2 linked regions of the Schizosaccharomyces pombe genome follow. The protein of the gene in region 2 binds, or shares a complex with, the protein of the main gene of each other region. Each region holds a gene or a part of one and is shown on either strand. Other genes may lie near its edges. The genes, in order: ssu72 and cft2.

What was found.
Region 1: cft2 (region 2) and ssu72 share a complex: the UniProt entries of both Schizosaccharomyces pombe proteins name them as parts of the cleavage and polyadenylation factor (CPF) complex.

Annotation. Positions count from the first base shown.
Region 1 is NC_003424.3:3,175,787-3,178,992, forward strand, and holds ssu72 (RNA polymerase II CTD phosphatase Ssu72), read right to left. Parts: upstream 1,476-3,206; 5' UTR 1,345-1,475; coding exon 1,262-1,344; exon of another isoform or gene 1,213-1,261; coding exon 702-1,212; 3' UTR 641-701; downstream 1-640. Other genes in the region: spa2 (GTPase-activating protein), read right to left, coding at 1-120, 207-273. UniProt on the Schizosaccharomyces pombe protein: Processively dephosphorylates Ser-5 of the heptad repeats YSPTSPS in the C-terminal domain of the largest RNA polymerase II subunit (rpb1).
Region 2 is NC_003423.3:1,127,125-1,132,211, forward strand, and holds cft2 (mRNA processing protein Cft2), read right to left. Parts: upstream 3,350-5,087; 5' UTR 3,302-3,349; coding exon 2,929-3,301; exon of another isoform or gene 2,866-2,928; coding exon 845-2,865; 3' UTR 830-844; downstream 1-829. Other genes in the region: ngl1 (peptide N-glycanase), read left to right, coding at 1-82, 129-288, 334-372, 418-716; SPOM_SPBC1709.16C (aromatic ring-opening dioxygenase), read right to left, coding at 3,772-3,954, 4,028-4,336, 4,392-4,699, 4,855-4,948. UniProt on the Schizosaccharomyces pombe protein: RNA-binding component of the cleavage and polyadenylation factor (CPF) complex, which plays a key role in polyadenylation-dependent pre-mRNA 3'-end formation and cooperates with cleavage factors including the CFIA complex and NAB4/CFIB.

The sequences.
Region 1 (3,206 bases), on a different chromosome or scaffold from region 2:
CATTGTTGATCCTACGCTGTAGTTCATCAGCAACGTCTGTTAAAAGTTCACTGAACTGAATATGAGACAAACGCTGAAGCTTTTCACGTGGCCTCGCATTGGCGTTCCTTAGGGCTGGGTCTATAAAATAGCGTTAGAGGTGATTACATTGTTTCCGTGGGTCAAAGCAATTGTACAGCTTAATTTTAAACCAATTTTTAACATACCTTTAACAAATTCAGGCTCTAAGTAACGAGCTAAAAACCGATATTGACGAATAATAATACTTTGCATAGTTTGAAAGCAAATTTAAGACTAGGGATTTGAGGAAAGAAGTTGGAAAAAATGAGCTTTCTATCTTTTTCAGGGAATTAAATGATATGTCCTTTCTTTTACGCTGACTTGAAAAAGATAGACTGTGTAAATTAACTTAAGGCAGTTGTACTAATACAATGGGCAAGGACGTGCTGGACCCTAAATTAATTTGATATAATTTTTCTGTGAATTAAATTTTTAAAGAAAAAGTCTTTAAAATGCCTAATGTACTGCCAAACACATTAACAGGCAAACGAGTGCGAAGAGAAATCTTCTATCTAAAAATATTACTGACAGCTTTGCGTCCTTGCCAATTTACTGTGTTTATTACTTAGAACGTTGTAGATATACTAGGAGAAAGGACATGCTTTATTAAATTCGATAACGACGTGTAACGATAAATGATATTAAAAAAAATGAATAGTATACAATACAGGAAGTTTAGGATGGTTAGATTGAAAGTCGGCCATTATAGAAGGGAACAGCTCTTCCAATTTATCCTGTGCCTCGGTTAATTTGTTGACTAAATCGAGAATGGCCTTTCCACCTACGCTGGCCTCCTCATGGTTATCTTTAATGTCAACGTTTATTAAGTACACAGGTCGATTCAATGTTTCACCTCGACGATACAGATCCTCACAAATGGCATCATAACATCTTTCTTCGCAGGTTATTACAATGTTGTATATGGAATCTTGGTCCTGCCACCGACAAGGAGCGCGCTTTATACGGCGATTTCGGTCAAGCATTTTAAGCAATCCATTGGCCGTGTATAGCCGGGAATCCTGGGCCTCGAGCTCTTTATAAATTTCATCATATGGATACCCAAATTGATAAATGTTAGGTTTGTCAATACTGGGACCCGGCAACCGTACAGCTGAACCTGTTCCGAACGAATCAACTTGGTATCCAGCATTCCTTCAATGGAGATTAGCAAACTACCTCATAAAATTCAAAAATGACATACTTTAAGACGTTGTGAGCTTCCATACTTCGATTTTGGTTCGAAGCACAAATTACACTGATCTGGAGGTTGGTTTTGGGAGCCATTATTTGGTATTATTGTTTACTGACTAACGTTGGTAAGGCTTTAAAAGGTTTTACTTTCCTTTCTTTATTATTGCAAGATTTTTATCTTACTAAATTAGACATACAGCCAAAGGTCCAAACTCGTTCTTTGCAGTGTATACAATATGACACGCTGTAAGCAACAGCCTTTCAAAATTACCACGCTGCTTTACGATGCGATATATCGATATGTTGCATCACAAAAGCAGAGGCTCTTGAAATGAATCTCATCTTTGCAGAGTATAATTTCTACTTTAATTAATTATCTTAAATGTTTTATAAAAATAAAAATTCTCCACGTTGTATTCGTCTGATAGCAATTTTTCAAAGATAGGGTTTGAATAAATACGTCTATACTCCACTACCCATACTACATTAATGATTGTTAACTTTACAAAATTATGCCTAATTCAAAAACTCCTTATTATAATATTAATAATAAAACTACTCATCGCCAGCACTTTAAAAAGCCGTATAAAATTAGTGAGAAATCATTGTATTGTCAAACAAAATTTGCGGTTGGATCAATCAACAATTCTTGGCTGTTAATCTCAAAATGAATAAAGTTCAAACATACAAACTGGCGTATGAAGCATTAAGTTTTGAGCTGATCTACTTAGAGTAGTTTCGTACATACCATACTCTTTCATTTCATTTATCGCTTAAGATTTCCAAGTTTTGAGTATTATATAGGGTAGGTCTTCAATCTTTGTGACTGTTTCAATAAATTCGATTTAGTATATATTTTGCATAACTTAACCAATTTTAATTCAACGCGAAATGATGACTTTAGGCATTTGTCCAAAGGATACAACTTCAGTTATTGAATTAGTACCACTGTAGACAAAACCCTAGCTACCTTTTAATTTTGTCTGATCGTGTGTAAAACGTTTACGACAATAATGATTAGCTTAGTTGAAGATATCGCGGATACTGAAAAATATATGACCAGCCTAAATAAAATCGGTGTATGTAATTTTGTCTTGAAAAGCTATAAAGTTACTGTGTGGTTAATGCAGTTTTTCGTTAGTAGAAAATACAAAAATCAGGTTCACTCAGTAAGCTTCTTAAAGTGAAATATGACATTCAACAGTACTCATTAATTTTGCGAATCGAAACAGTTAGTGACTTGCCTTAAATATAGTCAGTAAATAAGAAAAAAAAAAGAAAATGTAAAGGCACATCATATTATGCAAAGAAGGACTACGTTGCTATAATGCATGCAAACCATATCCAATAAGTAAAAGACGTAGATGCTATTTCTATATCAAAAGAAACATATTCACATGTTTTATATACAAAGAATCCGTCAGAAAAACCATACGTGCTAACTGGCAAATCGGCTCTTCCCATAAGTAGACGATGATCTTGCAGCGTCACGGTATAATCCTAATCTAGTGATTTCGTTCCCCTTTTCTAAAGCTTTTCTCGTTCGCTGGACTTTACGCCAAACAGACTTCTCCTTTTTAATATACCATATGTTTCAGTTAACTGATCGCGCAATTCAGGCTTAATAAACGGTAAGCAGTCTATATTTCTTTTTCTCTTTCGCTTCAAAATAGAGCTTTAATTTAGTTATTGTGATCAAATAGTCTCAATTATTCGTCTGCTATGAAGAATGTCAAAGCTGTTACGGTTATCATAATTAAAACCACTAACACTGACAAAACTGTTATTTCTTTTGATCTCTTGAGCTAACTGAGTAGACTTAATCACAGCGCAATTTTCTTTGCTTTCGTGTCAAACGATTATGACAAACCATTGTGGAAACATTTTGTACATTAGCAGTTATTTATTCTGCGCTTTCATTATTTACACCATTCGCCAAATTAGACCATCTTGAA
Region 2 (5,087 bases):
GCATAATCAGAGATTTCCCAGGTATAATCGCATTCGAGCATTGCTTGATTCAAGGAAGGGAAGATGTGGAGAGTGGGCCAACGTGAGTTAAAAATATTTATAAATATATAAAGCTAACATTTTCTTAGTGTTTCACTTTCCTATGCAGAGCACTTGGATCTAGAGCTAGGTGGATTTGGAATGCTGAGGACCATGTGTGGACGGAAGTCTATAGTAATAAACAGCAACGCTGGGTGCATGTCGATAGTGGTGAAGAATCATTCGATGAACCTTTGATATACGAACAAGGTAGAGTTCTAACTCCTTGAAAAACTTGATTTCTAACAGCATTAGGTTGGGGAAAGAAGATGTCATATTGTTTGGGTTTTGGGAGTACGGAAAAGGTTTTAATTTTATTTGTTACTAATGCAAAAATAGTCGATAGTGTTCGCGATGTATCGCATAGATATATTCGTCACCCTGAGAATGGTCTTCCTCGTGATCGATGCCCCGAATCTGTCCTACAACAGGCTTTGCATGAGATTAATATTGAGTTTCGGTCCCGACTAACTGATTCTGAACGTAAGGCTCTAGAGGAGGAAGACAAACGTGAAAAAGATGAACTTGATGGTTATATGCGTCCTGTTTCCCAGGCCACGCCCACTAACACTGACCTGCCAGCAAGACAAACGGGGAATGTTGAATGGAAAGAGAAAAGAGGGGAAGCAGGAAAATGATTGTTTCATAAAGCTTTACGTTCCGTTTCTATTACCAAACATTTATTAGTTATGTTGTACATGAATCCTTTCTAGTTACTAGCTTTTTTTTTATGTAATCCTAATTAAATTTTTTTTTCATACATTAGTTAAACGACAGCAAGTGCATCGTAAACCAACTTTCGAATTTCAAAAAAGCGGTTGCTCAAACTGCCCTCAACGGATATTTTACCACCACTGAGTTTTCTTACGGCAACAGCTCCCCCACATAATAAAACACCTTCTCCTTTCAATTCAGCAGAAATTCCTTGATCTAAAAGTGCTTTACGGAGATAGGCAAGCCGAATATTACCTACCAAAAGTGGAGCAGCCCTGGGCGCTCTTGCCAAGTCTGATCTTAAAGTCAAGGCGTTAAGAACAGGAAGTGTCTCTTTCTCTTCTTTTTTCTCTTCATTCCTTTCTTTATCACCGTCCTTTTTCTCAACTTCTTCCTTTTTATCTTCTTCTTCAGAAGGTTTAGAGATCTCAACCTTAGCCAGCATATGTGAAACTTCGCAATTGCCAACTTTAGTCCAAATTAAATTTTTAATAAGATCATCTGCTAATTTAAGACTGAATGCATTAACATCGATACTAACATTAATGATTTCACCATAGTTGGGTATGTAAACGTCCTTGGTAAAAGCACTGAGAGAGGCGCACGTTTTCTTCATATCTTCTTTCTCTTCAGTTGAAGCATGAATAAGGACAAGTCTTCTAGGATTTACCTGTGGTATAATAGTTTTCAAAGAACGTCCATCATGCAGACCCTCAATATCTATGAACTGAACTTGACATGAAACTCGGATAGTTTTTTCATCTGTTATAATTTTAGAAGGAACTTCATCCTCATCCTCTTCTTCCTTTTTTTGTTGTAGACCATCGTTTATTTCGGACCATTTTCTTTTTCCGTTAGAATTAGATAAAGCATTATCATCTGAATCATTTTCCAATTCCAATGTGTTAGCAGGTTCGTTAATCATAGAAAAGTCTTGATGTTTGATAATTTCTCCATATTCATCTATCCTCCTTCTCTTCTCAATGTATGGAAACATTTTATACTTGGTATGTAAAGCTTGGACAGCAGGATCTCTCAAGTTCAAATCAAAAGACTTTCCCATTAGGAAAGCAGAAGATCCAAGAGCCACATGGGGAACTTCTGTATTCAAATCTAAGTCGTCATCTTCTGAAGAAGATGATGATGAAAGGTCTTCATCTAATATGGTTCTGTTACGAAATTCCAAAGCGGTATCTTCCGCATCTTTATTTCTCTTGCTGAACTCAAGTTCTTGATACGATCGCAATTCTTCCCCCTCCAAAGGTTCTTTCGTTTTTATCTTGACAGCTTGTTCAGCATACAAACCGACTGGATGAGGAATATCACGTTTCTTTTTACTAGCACGTTCCCAATACCTGATGAATTGGTTTGCAAGTGAGTTTTGAGGGCATCTGGATCTTTGTGTAAACAGTATTAAGTCATTTGAATTTTCAGACATCAAATCTAACAAAATTCGCTGAGAGAATCCGCATTCCAAAGTCAACGCGGTAGCGAGGATCACTTTGGGTCCGGGTCCTATGTGAGAAATCTGAGAAAAATCTGTAATCGTATTTATATTTCGAAACTCTAATAAGTTTTCGTTGATCCCAAAATCACGAACTATATTATCACCCATCCATTCAATCATACTTTTAGCATAGTCAATAGTTTTTGTTGATGTAGGGGAAAGGAATAATATAGGAAATGGTAGAGGCGGTTGACTAGCAGACCAATGGTTATCTAGAATACAACACAATTCTAATACCCTAGAAGCGGCATCTACAGGTAATAAAACAGTACCGCCCTTCAACAAAGAAGACATAACAGACTCTATGAAAGCTTCGTCACGCTTTTTACGGGAAGGGATAGATACGAGTGAATTGTTAGCATCAGTAATTAAAGTATTTGGTCGATTGAGAGCTTCTAATATATGGCCATTCGAATATAAGGCAGCGCCGTTTAGATGTTTATCTTTAGAATGGTTCCAGTCAACAGCGTACAGAACGCTTTCTGATTCTTTTATAAGACTCCACAAAGTTCCTCCCAAGGTATGTCCAGCATTATAAGCAGTAATGGTTAGCCCACTACATTTTCCTAAATCATGAATTAGTATAATCAAAAGTTCAAAAGACTTTTTTCACAAGAACAATTGCTTACCTAAAAGTAATGTGGGTTGTTGATATCTAAGAGGAATGATGCTGTCAAAAACAGCATCTACATCAGCTTTGCTCATGTCTGAAATATAGTTGGATTTTATTGCATCCAACATAGTCATCCGACCCATATTAATTGTTGGTAAAGTAGCATATATATACGCATTTTTCCAGTCATATTTATAATAAGCATAAACCAATCCTCCTATATGTGCTAAATCCGAATGAGATAAAAGGATTAAATCTGGTTGTTCGGGTACTTCCGGATGTTTTAATGAATCATCGCTGCCAGGGTCTATATAGATATGAATTCCATCTAACTCAATATGAGATGTTCCACAATAGGAGTCTGTCTCTAAACATTGATAGTTGAGCATGGTTATTGCCCAAAGACAGGACTTTACAACTCGATGGTAGTAAACAGTGGGGGTTGGATGGCTATCAGAAAGAATATATCCAAGCGATACTATAATATGAAAACTTGTCAATCTTCTAAATTGACCAGTTTTAATGTCTTTATTATAACTAAATCTTTAGTTAATCTAAATCATTCAACGAGCATATTGGATAAATCGGCTTCGTAATTTTTATATATTAACAAAGACGGATGTTTATTAAATACGGTTTCTTGGTAACATCATTAATTAAAAATATACCATGTAAGGAGTTGAGTTATAAGTGACTGGTATAGATTATCAATTGGCGATTTATTCAAAATGCGCTAATTTTAGGAAATGGTTCATCAAATCGAAAATTGTCCTGAAAGCATTAAGTGAATTATCAAAATAATTTTTAGCTTTTAAATTATCACTCTGTAATAACAAATAACTGTAAATTAGACATTGATTCATTCATCGATTCCAAAAAAAGCAGAGACGGCGCCATAGAGGTCGCAAACGACCTTAGATTTCCCAGAGCTTCCTAGGCCCGCAGCGACATATAATGGAACAAAGTGTTCCTCGCGTGGGTGTGCTTTTCGAAAATAAGGGTGTAGCTGTAATCCTAATAATTTATTCAGACGATCATTTTGCTATAGGTTCGAAATTAGTACAAGAAGTTCAAAATATTGTGCACTCATCCTCAACGACAAGTAACATACATACCTTATCAGTCTCAATAGCTTTTAGAATATCCAGTTGGAATTCTTTATATCCATCAGCTGCCGTATCTTCATTGAATGCAGAGAGGTCTTCGAAAGTATGAATGTTGAGTCCTCCGCTAACTATCAAATACTCCTTCCGCAAACTTTGCAATGCTTGTCCTACTTTATATAGCTGCATGGGATCTAGGGTATGCATGCTCACCTCTATTAATGGGATATTAAGTCCATCGGGAAACATGATTTTGAATGGCACAAAAACACCATGGTCCAATCCACGATCACCTGAAACAGTTTTTGCTGGAATTTGGTACTATTGGGTTAGCATCAATAATCTATGAAACAGAAAAGATTCTGCGTTGGCATACTTCTTTAAGGGCAGAAATTATTTGATCGGCTATCCGCTTGGAGCCTTTGGAATGAAACTTGATCTGGTATAAATAATCTGGAAATCCGTAATAGTCATAAAAAAGTGGGTTTTCATCGTCTCTCGAATATACTTCAACTGATCCACGAGACTCATAGTGTGCAGAAAAGACGATTATTCCCTTCGGTCTAAACTTTTCCAATAGAAAGGGTCCTAACTGTTCTAAAAACTGATAATGTAACCCTCCAAGCTTAGAATCATTACTGAAAACCTCATCATCCGATGATTGTGGTAACATCAAAAATGGAGCTAAACAATTTTTAGTTATTCTAGTATCAATAAAGTGTTTATGTATCGAGTTATATGAAATTGAGAGATAGTTTGATGAAGTCAGTCAGCAAATTCCATTAACTCAGCATATTATGCGTCTGCTATATAAATTTCTGTTGATTCAATATACTTACATCCATGCGCTAAATACAGAGCTGGAATAAGCCTTTCTAGTTGAGGAACAGACCTCATACGAGACATCCAGTCTAATAGTCGAGAACTCGCCATAGTCCCGTTAAATTCAATTTCAAAATAGCCTAAATCGTTTGACTCCACTGGCTTTTGGGTGGTGTTACTAACGCTGTTGTTTTTCCAGTAGGCGAGTATGCACACTGCCAAACCCGTCAAGAGGTATTTCAACCTTAAA